Notamacropus eugenii: one gene and its partner. The protein of the gene in region 1 binds, or shares a complex with, the protein of each later gene. Links are inferred from orthologs where the notes say so. Each region holds a gene or a part of one and is shown on either strand. Other genes may lie near its edges. The genes, in order: GRK1 and RCVRN.

The links.
Region 2: the proteins of GRK1 (region 1) and RCVRN are in contact, whole or in part, in an NMR structure (PDB 2I94), measured with the Bos taurus proteins. The link is inferred for Notamacropus eugenii from reciprocal best matches to the Homo sapiens genes GRK1 and RCVRN. Residues at the interface, in NP_776598.1 of Bos taurus: Phe3, Gly4, Leu6, Glu7, Val9, Val10, Ala11, Asn12, Ser13, Ala14, Phe15, Ile16; in NP_776590.1 of Bos taurus: Lys22, Trp31, Ser34, Phe35, Glu38, Cys39, Phe49, Ile52, Tyr53, Lys55, Phe56, Phe57, Tyr86, Leu90, Thr93, Ser94, Phe188, Glu189.

Annotation. Positions count from the first base shown.
Region 1 is NC_092877.1:207,270,753-207,278,277, reverse strand, and holds the start of GRK1 (rhodopsin kinase GRK1), read left to right. Parts: upstream 1-4,027; coding exon 4,028-4,729; intron 4,730-7,525. UniProt on the Homo sapiens protein: Retina-specific kinase involved in the signal turnoff via phosphorylation of rhodopsin (RHO), the G protein- coupled receptor that initiates the phototransduction cascade.
Region 2 is NC_092873.1:317,136,807-317,145,338, forward strand, and holds the start of RCVRN (recoverin), read left to right. Parts: upstream 1-5,274; coding exon 5,275-5,655; intron 5,656-8,532. UniProt on the Homo sapiens protein: Acts as a calcium sensor and regulates phototransduction of cone and rod photoreceptor cells. Modulates light sensitivity of cone photoreceptor in dark and dim conditions.

The DNA of each region.
Region 1 (7,525 bases):
CGTCTTAATTCAGGTTCAATGTTGGGATGAAGTGTGGCATTTACAAGTCATCCAACGATTAACAAAAGGAGATTTGCTTTGCCCTGTTGTAGCCAGGATATGCGGCAAGGAGGCAGTGGTGCTGGGTTTGTCCCTTCCAAAAGGAAAATTGGTCAACAGGGCAGTATGTGGTGAAGGACACAGTGACTCATGTGGCTTTTGGAAATCTATCAAATTCGAGGTCCCTGACTGCACACATATGGGACTTTTTATGCCCTTAAGTTTGCAAGGGAAACATAGAACCTCTTTTGTCTCTTTTTAGGGAAAACTAATCTCTGTCACAGTACAGTGTATAGAAGACTGGGCCTGAAGTCAGGAAGATTCATTTTTCTGAGTTCAAATCTGGCCTCAGGCACTTACTAGCAGTGTGCCCCTGGGCAACTCATTTACCTCTGTTTGCCTCAGTTTCCTCTTCTGTAAAATGAGCTGGAGAAGGAAATGACAAACTACTCCAGCATCTTTGCCAAGAAAAACCTAAATGGGGTCACAAAGAGTCAAACATGTCTGAAAAACAACTGAACAGCAAATCTCTGTTATAGGAAAAAAGAAGGAAGGAGAGGCCTGTCCTTCTTAGGTGGGAAAACATTTGTGGATTTTAGTTTGATCACACATTTAATCTTCATCACAACCTTTTAAATTAGAAAGAGCCTACTTTATTATCCCCATTTTACAGATGAGAAAATGGAAGCTCAGAGGACAGTTAATAAATGGCAGAGCAAAGACTAGAAATTAAATTGCCTGATTCCAGTGGTCTTTCCCTTATACCACACTTCCTATGCACCTTGTAATAATAATAATAATACCTAATATCTATATGATACTTCAAAGTCTGCAAAATACTTTACATGCATTTTCTCATCTGCTCCAGATAATGGCCCTGTGAGGGAGAGGCTACAGGCATCATCATCCCCATTTTACAGATGAGAAGACTGAGACTCGGAGAGGTTTGTCTTTGCTCATGGCTAGCGTCAGAGGCTTTATTTGAACCTAGGACTCCCTTGACTCCAAGTCCTGTGACCCTTTCTGCTCAAACATACCGCTTCATCAGCCTCTTGTGGAGAAGCGTAAGAAATCAAAGGAACTTTCATCTCTAATTATGGCGAAGAGTTCTGATTAAAGGTTAGTGCTGATTAAAACAAGTGCCTGAGCTGAGTTGGGGAGGCTGTCTTAAATGTATTTATATTATTCATGTTATTATGCTAGCCAACTCATGCATAATGATAGCTTTGACATTATTTGATGATGAATTATATCTTCTCTTAATTTGTATTCTTATCCTAAGTCAGCTGGGTGGCCTAATGCATAGAGCATTGGACTTGGAGTCAGGAATACCTAAGATCTAACTACGCCACAAACCCCTACCAGCTGTGTGCTTCTGGGCAAGTTCCTTAACTCCTGTGTCTCAGTTCCCCCATCTGTAAAAGGGGTTGAATTTGACCCTTAAGTTCCCTTCCAGCTCCCAGACTATGATCCTATGTCCTAAGCCAGAAGGACTTTGCAGGAGACCTGGTTTCAGAGTGAGATTCTATAACCGAGGCTTATTTTCATTCTTTCACTTTTGAGAAGGTTAGAAAGAAATATAAATTCAAGTTGTTATTCAGTCATTTCTAGTAGCATTTGGCTCTTTATGACCCCATTTGCAAAGATACTGGAGTGGTTCACCATTTCCTTCTCCAGCTCATTTTGTAGGTGAGGAAACTGAGGCAAACAGGGTCAAGTGACTTGCCCAGGGTCACACAGCTGGTAAGTATCTGTGGCCAGATTTGAACTCAAGAAGATGAGTTTTTCTAACTTCAGGCCCCATCCACTGCAACCTTGTCAAATTCAAGTCAGTAAGGAGTTATTATGAAATGGCCTCCCTGCTATCTCCACCTGTTTAAATTGTTTTCTTTTAAGTCCTAGGTCAATTTTTGTCATCTCTTCCATGAAACCTTCCTGATTTCCTCAGCTATAAGTAATCTTTGCTTTTTCCATTTTTTCTTACTATACTATACCTCTCCTATATATTTATTATGCATGAATGTACAGAACATCTTTGATTTCATAATCAGAAAGTCTCCAGTTAGGAACTCTTTCCACCTCAAAAAATTGTGACTCATCTGGGATTGAATCTATATGAACTAGAAAGGTGCTTGAGACACAAACAGTCCTGCAGATTATCCACCCCTCGATAACAATGATCTAACATTAATATAGTGCTTAGTTAACAAAGCATTTTACCTCCATTATTTGACTTATAGCCATACCCTGCTACTTTTAAATTCATATCATCTCCCAACCCTACCCTGGATCCTCTTTATTCTTTCTAATTCTCTAGCCCATTCCTGTATTCTGCAGACTATTTCTGAAATAATCTGTAAAGCCCTGATCTCATCTCCAAACTGATATCCTCTGGAAGGAGTTTTCTATCTGCCTATCAAACACACTGTGGATAAACTGCCACACTGGTGATATTTACTAAAAAGGGAGAAATACACATGTGTTTCCTTATCAGTTTTCCAGAAGATGGACTGTTTATTGCCAATCACCAGAGTTTAACTCCTTTCAGTGAGAGTATCATTTTTATTATCATCATATGTGTTCTTTCAATGTTAATATTTTTAAGAATAATTTTGTATAAATGAGGGATTTCTTTTGATCTTAGAGCACATACTGAGGAGTGGTTGTGGGCTAAGCAGTATGAACAGTTTAGTGACTTTTGTCAGATAATTCCCAATTTACAAAAGTGTGGGATTTTGTTTTTTTGTTTTTTTACCAATTCACAGCTACCTTAATCCTATTTTCATGTGCCTAGTCTCCTATAGGCTCTCTAACACTATTTCCAATTTTAAAAAATCGTGTACAAAATTCTTTCCTCACAACATCCATTTTATATCCCTACTTTATAAATCGTAACATCAGAGATTTATTGCTGCAAGAGACTGTGAGCTTCTAATCCAACTCCTTCATTCTATGGGGTGAGAAAACTGAGGCTCAGAGTACCTCAGTGACTTGTCCAAGGTCACATGGTTAAGCAATGAGGCCAGGATTTAGATATGGGTCTCCTGATTCTGAGGAGTCAACAACTCAAATGCGGCTCTTGCCATTATCAATAAACATCCATAAATTGCCTACTTTGTGCCAAACACTGTGCTAAAAGCTGGAGCATGATGCTTTGCTTTTAAATTCAGGATGTTTCCAGGAAATGGTATTGTATATTTAAAATGTTTTTTTTCTTCTTCTCAAACCTTCTTGACACTGGTTTTTCTTTTCACTTTCTTCTTTCTCATAAAGTAAAGTGCAGAAATAAAAATCCAGTTAGACAGGGGTTCTGATTAGTTATGTTAATACCTCATTAATTGGATTTTCTTGCGTGGAGGCATTTAATCTTCCAGGTTTATTTAACACCCTCCTCCAAAGGGTCTGACTAAACAAGTTTCAAATATGTTAATATTTTTCAACACCGGAACAGCGAGGTAGGGAGTCCAACTGTGTTTGTCCAAGTAGAATGCAGAATCAGAGGGAAAAATTGGTGATTTCTGGGTATTTTGTATCTTAAGTGGCCTTGCAAGGAACGTTACCCAAAGTATTCAAAATTTTCTAGGCAACAAAATAAATATGATCTTAAAGAGAGAGGGAGATGAGAATAATTATCTGCCTAATCAGATAAGAAGGCTACAAAGGTGATGACTCAGGAGAATTATCTTTTTCTGACCCTGGTTCATCACATCTAATTCAACCTCCACCTATATCTAAGGATCCCAGGGATTAGCATAGGTGCTGATCTTGCACATTACCTAGGAACCTGGGGATCTGTTTGTTTTTTACATTGCTTCTTCCTTGGTCATTGCACTGGACAGGACGTCTCCCTTGTCCCCTGGGAGGGCAGGAGGGTGCCACAGGCCAAGGACGGGTCATTCCCCAAAAATCAGTTCTGAGGATCCTCTCACAATTCAGCTTTAACTCGTGACTTCTCATGTGTGAACACAGAGACTGAAGAGCCTGAGGGATGGATTTTGGATCATTGGAGACCGTTGTGGCCAACTCTGCCTTCATAGCTGCCCGGGCCAGTATCGATGCAAGTGGTAGTTCGCATCTATCCCGGGACAAGAAGTACCTTTCAAAGCTCAAACTGCCTCCTCTCTCCAAATGTGAATCCCTACGGGACACTCTTAACTTAGAATTTGAAAACATTTGCTCTGAGCAACCTATTGGCAAGCGCCTGTTCCAACAGTTCCTAAAGAATGATGAACGGTATGTCCCTGCAGTCGAGTTATGGAGGGACATTGAAGACTATGACACCGCTGACGATGATTTTCGCCTTCAGAAAGCCCAGGGCATCCTTGCTGACTACCTGGACCCTAAGGCCAAGCTTTTCTGCAGTTTCCTGGAGGAAGGGATGGTTGAGAAAGTCAAGGAGAAACACTCAAGCATCCCCAATGGACTCTTCCAACCTCTTCTTGAAGTAGCTCTGCACTACCTGAGTGAGGTTCCCTTCCAAGAGTACATGGAGAGCTTATATTTCTTGAGATTCCTGCAGTGGAAGTGGCTGGAAGCTCAGCCCATCGGGGAAGACTGGTTTTTGGACTTCAGGGTCCTGGGGAAAGGGGGTTTTGGGGAGGTGTCAGGTTGCCAGATGAAAGCCACAGGCAAGATGTACGCCTGTAAAAAACTGAATAAGAAGAGGCTGAAGAAAAGAAAAGGGTATCAAGTAAGCAGCAGCAAATAGGTCCCAGCAAGTCCAAAGTAAATGCCTTTGAGATTCCCAAGATGGGGCAGAAGTGGGAGGTGGCAAGGTTGTGGGGCAGTGGGCATGGCAGTACATTCACTGGGATGTAGAAATTCAGTCACTCTCTTCACATAGCTCTAATACAGAGTAGAGGCTTGCATTTTGGGTATAGACAATCTTGACTTGGAGTAGTAGCCAAACTGTCCATGGCTAGCGTTCTGGTCAATGAAGCAACCATGATACAGTGAATAGAAAGCTGGCCCTTGAATCTGGACAACCTGGATTCAAGTTCCAACTCTGACATGTACTGGCAGTGTGATCGTAGGCAAACCATTTAACCTCTTAGTGCCCAGAATAATAGAGTGGCTGCTCTTCTACATTGGAAGAGGGAGTCCCCACCTGGGAGCTCCCTACATAGATGAAATCACAGGTCCAGACCAAAAAATATACATTATATCTTTAAGATGGGATACCCATACCTGGTGGTATAGGACTTGAGTTTCGATGTTTTATGACACTGAAAGCTAAATCACTAAGGGAGGAGAATGGATTGAATGACCTCTTAACACCCCTTCCAGTCCAGTGATGATATGGTTCACCTCTTCCAGTTCTATTGTTGTAATTAATATCAATTGTTTTAAAAGTAATCTGGGTATTACTTTGGTTTGTGGCCAACCCATAGGATATATCGGTATAGTAGTTATTTTATATATGTATATATACATGTATATATATACACACGCACATATATATGTATACATATGTATACACATGTACATATATGCACATATACACATACATGTATATACTTATGTGTATATTTTATATATATATATATATACACACACACACACACATATACACACACATACATTTTAAAACTACTACCTTAGAAATATAGCTGGAGGAATGCCTTATTCTTCCAGGTGCCTCAGTCTGGGTTTTGGAAATATACTCAGCACAATCATAACTTACTTTGTGCTCTAAAAAGAGAGGTACAGTTTTCCATAGTGGCTAGGGATAAAACCTGGACCTGTGATTTCATCAGAATAGGGAATTCCTGGTGAGGAAACTCCCTCTAACAATACAGATTGGCACCTTTTCTGCAATTTAAAATTTATTTGCCCAGAGCATTGAAAGATTAAATAATTTGCCCGGAGTCACAAAACCAGTATATGTCCCAGGTAGGACTTGAACCCAGGTTTTCCTGGCTAGGAGTCCAGCTTTATATCTATTATACCATATCTGCCTCTTAGGGATTTCAGTGACACCAGAGACCAACACTGACCTTCACCTTATAAGAAATGCACATTTCATCCTAACTTTTAAAAATTGCAGTTGTTCCATGTCATGATGGGGTCATGCTGCATGGGGTCCACTCCTCCTTCACTTATGCCAATGTTCCATTTGAGAAGGAGTCCCTGTTAATTTCTGTAAAGTGACTTGTAAACACATCTTTTTGGCCTTTCCATTGACCTTGACACATATCTGACCAAATGAGGTGCTCTGTTTTCCTCCAAAGGTTGCTCAGGGCAACTAGTACTATTACTGAGGCACTTTTCAAATGCAGGAAATTTGTAAGTAGGATCAGTCTGTGACTTGTTTAAAGAAACAAACCAACAAATGACATCCAACTCAATAGTGCAGTAGGAACCGTCTGAGACTGGTCTAAAAAAAGAAACAAATAGTGCACTAGTAGATGGTGTAGTGGGGACAGTCAATGACAGGGAGAAAGATAGAATCCAGTACTAGAATCCAGTACTATTTGGTGAGTGGGGACTGTCTATAACCGTAAGACAGAAAGAAAGGAAGGAAGGAAGGAAGAAAGAAGAATTAGCACATAACTAGGTGGTGATTGTGCTTGGTATGACCATATCTCTGGTCAATTGATCTGAACTGAAGAGGTTAAAGACAAAAATATTAAATCAATCGAGGGAAACATGAGTTCCAAGGAAAAGGCTGTAGAATTCTGATGATGGGATCTTAGAAAAGTAATAATTATTCTTTTTACCTGGTCAAGAAAGGTAGTTTGACATAAAGGAGAGGGAGCTGACTTTTAAACCAGGAAGACTTGAATTCCAGGGCTGCCTCTTCCACATGTTGTCTGTGTGATTCTGGGCACGACCCTTGACCTCTCTCTGTGCTGAATCTAAGCAACTTTCTAAGACTAGGAGTTGCAGAGGAGATGCTGACCTATATTGGTAAAGAGAGTTTCTTCTCATGGGAATTCCTCATGCCAGTGAAATCCCAGAGCCAGTCCCTCTCTCAATACTTACCATAATACCTTCTTCTTCCAGATCAATAAGCTAACTAGATATGGGTAAAAATGAAGTAAAATTTACATTTTTTTTCCTCATTGTAGGCTTACATACAAACCTTTCTGATGCCAAGCTTTCTTTTTTTCCTCCCAAGAGATTATTTCCTCTTTCTAGTTGCAAATCCAAGGTGAACAGAGCAAAATTTTAAAGACATTTAAATAGAAAGTAAAAAGGGCTTAAAATAAAGATATTAAAAGATTTGGGAGGACACTGACCAGTTGCTCTCCATCTCTGCAGAGGCCTGAACAAGAGGAAATGGGCTGGCATTGCAGCAAGAGAGAGTTCGGTTAGACATAAGGAAGAACTGCTTGACTGTAAGGGGATTAAACACTGGAACAGGCTATCAAGGGAGATTGTCGAATTGTCATCTCTGGCTGTCTTTTAAAAACAAAATGCAGCAGCTTCTAACCTGGCTACCTTAGACATTAACCTGTCTGGAAGCAGGGGATTAGACAAGGTG
Region 2 (8,532 bases), on another chromosome or scaffold:
CATCACTCTCATTTCTCTTTCCAGTTTTTCCTCCACCTCTCTTACTTGATTTTCAAAATCCTTTTTTGACCTCTTCCATGGCCTGAGACCATTGTGTATTTATTTTGGAGGGTTTGGACGCAGAAGCCTTCAAACTTCCTCTGATATTATGCTTTGCTCTACCTCATCCGAAAGGATGGGAGAAAATACCTGTTCAGCAAGAAAGTAACTTTCTATAGTCTTATTTTTTCTCCCTTTTTGGGCATTTTCCCAGTTAGTTACTTGACTTTTGAGTCCTTTGTCAAGAGGAGAATATATTCTGGGTATCTGTGAGTTCCCAGTTCCTCCAAGGTGGCACAGTCAAGGGAGAGGAGTTTATTCCTCTCCTGGCCTGCACACTGGTATGGGAGCAACCAAAAACTTTTCTGCCCAGAATCTGCAATTGGAATTCCCTTACCACAACCACCTCCAGCTCCACCACCAGTTCTCCTCCTCACCCTGGAGTGTAGCTCAAGGCTGAAAATCAGATCAGTGACTCAATTTTCCCAGGGGCTCTAGGCGGAAGGTGCCAAAAATGACAGCTGCCACTGCAGTGCCTGCTGGCAGAGGTCCAGACCCTGCTCCTCTCTCCTGGGTGAAAGAGCCCTTGTACTGACCTTTGAAGCTGTCTGTGGTGTTTCTGGGTTCAGCAATCTGGGAACTACTCCCAGTGGCACCCTGAAGCCTGTTCTGAGTCCTGTCCCTGCTGTTCCAGCACCAGACTGGTCTGTGAGCCACACTCTAGGCTTAATTGCTTCTTCTTAAAAGGCCAGTGAACCCTATTAGCTCTGTCTGAGAACAGCCTTGGGATCTGAGGACGACCTGAGCTATACTTACATCCTCTATATTTTTTGCAGGCTGCCCAAAATCCTTGTGTGGGCAACAAGTATATATGACTCAGCTCTTCTCAGCAGCACAATGATCCAATCTTTTGTACTTATAAAGTATACATGAAGGAAAATGCTATCCACATCCAGATAAAGAACTGATGGACTCTGAATGCAGATTGAAGCATATATATTTTACAGCTGTGACTAATATGAAAATGTTTTACATGATAGCAAATGTATAACCTATATCAAATTGCCTACCATTTTAGGAAGAGAGGAATGGAGACAAGGAGAAAAATTTGGAACTCAAACTCTTGTAAAAATGAATGCTAAAAATTGTTTTGACATATGATTGGGGAAAAAATAAAATACCAAGGAAAAAATACTAAGAAAAATACTAAGAAAATATAAAAAAATACTAAGAAAAATACTAAAAAATACTAAGAAAAAAATATCAAGGTTGGGCCAAGTTTTGCTTTAAATTCTGTAATCCTGTGCCCCTTTTCCCTACTTCTCCCCAGGGCAAAGTTGTGGTCCTGGGGACAACTGGAAGTTTTCAAGAGGCAGAATTATTTTTTAGTTAAAGGTTAGATAGACTAGATGACCTCTGAAGTCCCTTCCAATGATCCAATCCTATGAGTATAGTTGCCACCAGATGGTGATTTATCCCAGTAAGAAGTTCGATAAATTAACAACAATCAAAATTAATTGAATACCTACTATGTGCAAGACTCTGTGCTAATAAGAGGACACAACACATATATAGGGAAAGTATAGCTGCAAGATTAATGGAAAGGTCAAGTGGTCTTCAGGATGCAGCCACCAAACAGGTGGCAATGTACTTTCTTTAGTATTATCTCTTTTGATGAAACCGTATTTATTTCTGATGTTGGATAATTTAATAATACCAAAGATTTTGGAGTAAAAAAAATCATTTTTGACTCTTTAGTAACTGTGGCTGCTGAAGAGGTAAGGCTACAGCACCTGTGGAGACAGATGTCTGGTAGGATCTCTACAAGGATTGCTCTCCTGGAGATAGTGGAATTCCCTAGGGAATGGCTTGGGGTCATTATTACCCCTTGATACTTGGCTACAAAGTAATTGATTGTTTTTATTGGGGTCTTGATAAATGTACAAGTCAAGGTAATAGACCCTATATTGGTCTGCCAAGCACACACCAACAGAGCCTTCCCTTTCTCCATTGTAATGATTTAGAGAATCACAAAGAGCTTCTTGGGCCCTAAGATTCAGACATACAAAGTCATATGGTGCCTATAAAGGTACTAGCTGAAGCCTTGGGATCATCTACCCCATCTGTCTGCACAGAGCTCCCAACTCAGCTCAGTGAATCAGCTTCTGACACTGCTGCAAAGGGCCTGAGCCTTTAATGGAACTGGAAGCAAATAGTGGCTTTGGGCTGTGGTTACACAAACCTGGGGGCAATTAACTATTTGATCCAGGTCCACAGGACTTTGGTAAGATAATGATTAAGATTGCAAGTCCCGTGGAAAATAATCTTCCCCATATTAGCATAGAGGCAAAATTCCGAATAAATAGTCCATTATCCCTGTGACTCACACACGCCTGCCAAATTGTCAATGAACAGGCATCTCCCTCCTCCTTCAGTCCCTGATGAATAGATTTTGTATTGTCACAGAATTTCTACAAGTGTTGAGTTTTACCTTTAACAGAAAATGGAAAAGATGTTAGACTTTGTGCTCCCTGTTCTTACAAGTTAAGATATTTTCAGTCTCCTCTACAATCTATTCTCCACATATCTACCAAAATGATGTTCGAAAGCACGGGTCTAATCCTCTGTGTCATTCCCCTGCTTGATAAACTGGTGGTTCCCTATTACTTCTAGGATTTAGTTCAAATTCCTCTGTTTGACACTTAAAGATTTTCACAACCTATCTTTCCATCCTTACACATTACTCTGCCTCACACCCTCTTGGATTCAGCCTAATGGCCTTCTTGCTGTTCTCCATAGGGCACTCAATTTCTCCAGTCCCTGACTTTGCACAGGCTTTCTCCCCTGACTTTAATGCACTCCCTACTGACCTCTGATTTTTTTTTTAGAATTCCTGGTTTTCTTCAAAGTTTAGCTTAAACTTCACTTATTGCAGAAGACTTTTCCTCATCTCCCCAAATGCTAGTGCTTTCACCGCCCACAAAAAAACACCTTGTATTTTGCATGTATATATCTGGTTTTTATATACAGCTTCCCCCACCCCTTTAGAAAATTAATTAACTCTTGAAAAACACTAGAGAGGAAACTTTTAAGAAAAGGTAATTACCACTCACTTCAATGGAACAATTTTTCCTGAGCCTCCAAATTAGCTCATTCAATATCCATTTATAATCAATGTCTATGTAATTGAATCTTTAAAAAAAGTCTTAATAGAATAGTGAAGACACTACCACCACCACCACCAAAGAAAAACAACAGTGCAAATGATATCACTCACCAAGAATGGTAATATCATGCAATGTGTGGAAGAACAAGAACAGGGCGGAAGATTTAGGTGAGTCACTTCAACACTTTTTTCATTTTAGGGGGCCTGATGCATGAAATTGCTAAGACTATAAAACGGTAAATCACCACTACTCTGGAGGAACTTAACACAGCAGACACCAGCTAGATAGTTTCAAAAGTGACTTCACAGTGACTTTTAGTGTGGAGCTAAATTTTTCTGGCAGTCAAAATGGAAATCAGTCCTCATAAAAGCAAAGAAAGCCTGGTTATCTAAAGCAGGGATATGAAATGAAAATCTTCCATATAAAGTCAGATTCTCACATCCCCAGTGGGTATATCTAAACATATGGCTGTATTTATATGTGCACATATTGTTTCTTCCCATAGAATCCTTCTGTGGGCAGCCATTATTTACCGTTTTATTTTTTGTCTTTACAATCCCAGCACATAGTAGATGTTTGATAATTTATTGATTTATTGACTGATAAGATTGATCAATAAGACTGTTACTGGGCATAGTAGGACAAACCATTAAAATACCTGCAACTAGGGAGGTTAAAACTGGTGGATCACTTAACCTTCGGAGCTCTGAGCTGGAATATAGCTCAAGCTAGCTGATAGAGTCTCATCACTAAGGCTGATTCCAACATGGTGAGCCTCCACAAGTGAGGCAGCCATCAGGTTGCCTGGAAGGAAGGGGAAGAACTGGCCAGGAATGAAGCAGGTTAAAGCTTTAGAGGGGATCAGCACTGGAGTCAGCCATGAGTGACCACTCTACTTCCAACGTGGACAGCATAAAGAGATCCACTCTCAAAAAAACAATCTAGACAAAATTGTAACCCTTGAGGGACCCCAGCCTGTACTTTGCCCTATTTTCTTCTTTTCTCACACCAGAGGTATTTTGAATTCTCATTCTATATCCTTTCTTGCCTCATCTCTGACCCTATCCCTCTGCTGGCTAAAAAGTGACTAATATCACATATTTTCATTTCACTGTAAAACCTCTTTTAGAGGCATTACATATTTCATCAAAGATGAAGAACTTTTTAAGAAGAATTTTGAGCAGCATTCAGCAAGGATGTGTATGTGGAAGGTGCTGCCAGAAGACCCACTGTAGAGCCCCAAATTAACTCTCTACTTCTGCCCACTGTGGGGCAGGAGAATCTGGGTCCTAGTTCTGACTTTGCCTTTCTAAGTGTGATCTTGGAAAAGTCTCTTCACCTCTTTGGCCCTCAATTTCCTAAAAATAAAATGAAGTGGATTGGACCAAGTGACCTCCAGCTCTGATCATACCTGATTTTAAGAATGGCCATGGAGCATAGCATGTGTGGGAAATTTATTTGCTCCATTAATGATGAATTTGTAGAGGGAGTTTATGGATATAAAAGAATCAGAGGTAAGTGTATATTGGGTCTTGAAGAGTCTAGAAAAGGAACAAGCAAGTGAAATGAAATGATATGAGCAGGGGACTATGAGAGTCCTTGAAAGAAATATAAAGGTTAGGTGAGATACACTTCATGCCCTCATGGACCCTCAAGGATAATATGGAGATGCCACCAGAATATCAAATGGTAAATGGAAAAGGGATGCATGTTTTCTAGATATTGACCAACAAAGGAAACTCATTTGGCAAAGCTTCGCTAAAAGCTCTTTTTCTTTTCTTAAAATAAGAATTAATCTTGATATTCTGAGCTCCTAAGATCATGATAGGAGGGAGAGGGCTCAGAGGACATCATTTCTAAGCCAGAAGAGTTCAGTACTTCCTATTAGTACATGGGGTAGAGAAGTGGCTAAAAGATTAGTAATGACCACAAATCCTTCTAATCCACCACAGGCTTTGTCTTAATTTGAAAACCCTGAACCTTGTGTCGAGTCAGCCTCAGTTCAGAGAGAGGAGGCTAGCTGCCACTTAGCATTTACTACTTGTCTGGTACCCAATCACCCTCACCCATGGGAAACAGCAGAAGTGGCTCCCTATCCAAAGATATCTTGGAGGAGCTGCAGCTAAATACCAAATACAAAGAGGAGGAACTATGTGCCTGGTACCAGTCCTTCCTGAAGGAGTGCCCCAGTGGCAAGATAACCAGACAGGAGTTTGAGAGCATCTACTCCAAATTTTTCCCAGATGCAGACCCGAAGGCCTATGCCCAGCATGTGTTCCGCAGCTTCGATGCAAACAACGATGGGACGTTGGACTTTAAGGAATATATCATTGCGCTCCACATGACCACAGCTGGCAAAACCCAACAGAAACTGGAGTGGGCGTTTTCCCTCTACGACATAGATGGCAATGGTACCATCAGCAAAAATGAAGTACTTGAGATCGTCATGGTATAGTTTATCCTCACTCCCATCATTGGTTGGCTGGGACCCAGTGGAGTCAATGACCTAGAATCACAGAACTTTTACCTTATGGAGCCAGAGCTGGAAGGGACCTTAGAGGTCATCCAGTCCCTCCTTTTACAGAGGAGGAATAAGGTTAGAGAGGAAAAGGGACTTGGCTGGAGCCAGTTAGTTGCAGAGCAGGAACTAAGAACTGAATTTCCTGATTTCCAGGCCAGTGTTTTCTCATTGCAACCATGTCCTTGATCAGGGATAGCTTAGGCAAGGTCTGGGTGGGTTTGTTTCATAGATATATGCTTTTTCTCTATGATCATCATGAATTGATTTAAATGTTATTCTTTATGCTTGTTTCCCAAACTAATTTGGCCTCAGAACTATTTTGAATTAGATATATTAAAGGAAGTCATGAATGTTAATCTAGGATACCAGAGGGTTTGAAATACTCCTGAGGATGAAGGGTAAAATCAAAGAAGAGAAAATTAAGCCTTCTTCCAGCACCCCAAGCTGCTGTTGCTCAGTTGTTTCAGTCATGTCCAACAATCTTAGTGATCCCATTTTGGGGGTTTTCTTGGCAAACATATGGGAGTGGTTGGTCATTTCCTTCTTCAGCTTGTTTTACAGATGAGAAAAGTGAGGCTTGCCCAGGGTTCCATAGCTAATTAAGTGTCTGAGGCCAGATTTGAACTCAGGAAGATGAATCTTCCTTACCTCAGGCCTGGCACTCTATCCACTGTGCTACCTAGCTTCCCAATCCTTGCTACCATAGATAATTTTGCCAAATATACTTTCATATTTAGTATTTTCGAGGGAAAAGTAATGCCAGGAGATAAACTTTCTCATTGACCTCTATTCACATAGCATGCAGAACACAGAAAGAGTGGCTTTTCTAATGTATTAAACACAATCATACTGTAGGTATTTTTCCTATGGTTTTTGAGAAAATATTCCTGATGCAATAGAAGAATTTTCTAGCATTTGGATATTTTTTCTTCAAAATTGCAAATATTACAAACTCAAATTATATAACACACAATGATATTTACATAGATACCATGTCTGAAATGTATAAAACAGCAAACACTAAGACAGGCAGCTCAGATTCTAGTCTCAGCTCTCCTACTTAAAAACCAGCAGTGTGACTTTGCTCCAGTCAATTGTAGGGAAGTGAGGATTGGAGAAGAGTTGAACTGATGACTTTCGGAAGTTCCTTTCAGCTCTGATGTCGTAGGTAGACATCAAAGATAGTCATTTATATCAATAGTGTTTGTAGACTTCTGTAGCATTTGTATTTCCCATTTTTTAGCTTCTTTGAAGTTTTGCACTTTGTCTTTTAATCTTTTCTTCCTTAGTTTCCTCTTCTATAAAATAAGAGGGCTGAACTAGATGGCCTTTGAGGTCCCTTTTAGGTCTAAACCTCTGCTCCTAGGATCTCCCCTCCCCTCTCTTTCCCCCTAGTGACTGGCCTTTTACAAAGATTTTTGCATTCTAATCCTATTCTTATTATGAAGGGAAATGTGGATTTGAGGGAGAGGGCAAGGACTGATTATTTTTTTTAAGTAAATAGTGTTTAATTTTTTCCAATTACATATAAAGACAGTTTTTCAGCATTCATTTTTCATAAGATTTTGAGTTCCAAATTTTTCTTTCCTTCTCCCTCCTCCCCCTTCTCCAAGAAGGCAAGCAATCTGATGTAGGTTACATATGTGCTAATTCTTTGTTTTAAGACTGCACACGCTTCTCTATACATTTCTTTACATTTTTTAAAGCATGAGCTAGAAAATCATCAATAAGCATAAATATTTCCGTAGACAAAGTCTATATACATTTTTCAATTGGATATTCATTTGCAAAATTCTTTTTACCATGCACACAGAATGCTCTTCCTGAGCATTCTCATGAATGGATCACTATAGGCTGCAATGGCTGTGATGGATTTGTATCATCCTTGAGGAAGCATAGAGAGGGTCACATTTTCATATTGACTGTGAGAAAGGGACCAAAGGTAGTCTGTGTTGATTATTTAGCCAGATAGCAGCAGCATCCTCTAGAGATGCCTGTGGGGGGTTAGTCTTATTAGGGTTAGAAGTTTCTTTGAGGGGATATGGGTGCTCCCTAGGGCAAGGGAAGAAAGGAGGTGGAAGGAGATAAGGAAGGGCTACGATGGTGGGTAGAAAGTGTGGAGTAACATTTTAAGTTATAGGATAATAGAAATTACTAATAATACACTAGCAAGAGCGTTGGCCAGAACTAGATATTGGAATACCTTTGTTCTGGTCTTACCTCTGACACTAACTCATTATGTAACTTTCGGAATGCAACTTGCATCCCCAATCTGGGCCTCAGTTTCCTGCTGTGGAAATAAAGATCCCTCTGCTCCCACTATCTATCATGCTATAGTTCTATGATTTTAAGATGGAGTTGGGACCAGAGGAAAACTGGGAAGTTATCCAAAATTCAAATCTCTTCTCTTGGAGAATCTCTGCTCATTTCATTTTGCAGGATCCCTACCTCTTCAAGTCAAATAGAGAAGGATATAGAGGACCTGGGTATTAAAGGCACCAAGACTTGTGCCTTTGTATTTCGCTCTGTCCCTTTTCTCCTCAGTTGTCCAATCAAAGCCATTCTGATTGTTCTTTATTTCCCACACAGGAAATACTAGGATACTTATTGGACCTAGGGGAAGACAAGTCAAATTCTTTCACTTTTTTGAGTTCAGGAGAGGATTTATCACTTTCACAATTTCTCTAGACATAGAGTTAGTATTGCTAAATTCATTGGCAGGCTGGGACGGAGGGTGGGGAGCAAAGGAAGCACTAGAATAGTGCTGGTATCCTATCCTTTTCTCCAAGCCAGGAAGGTTAACCA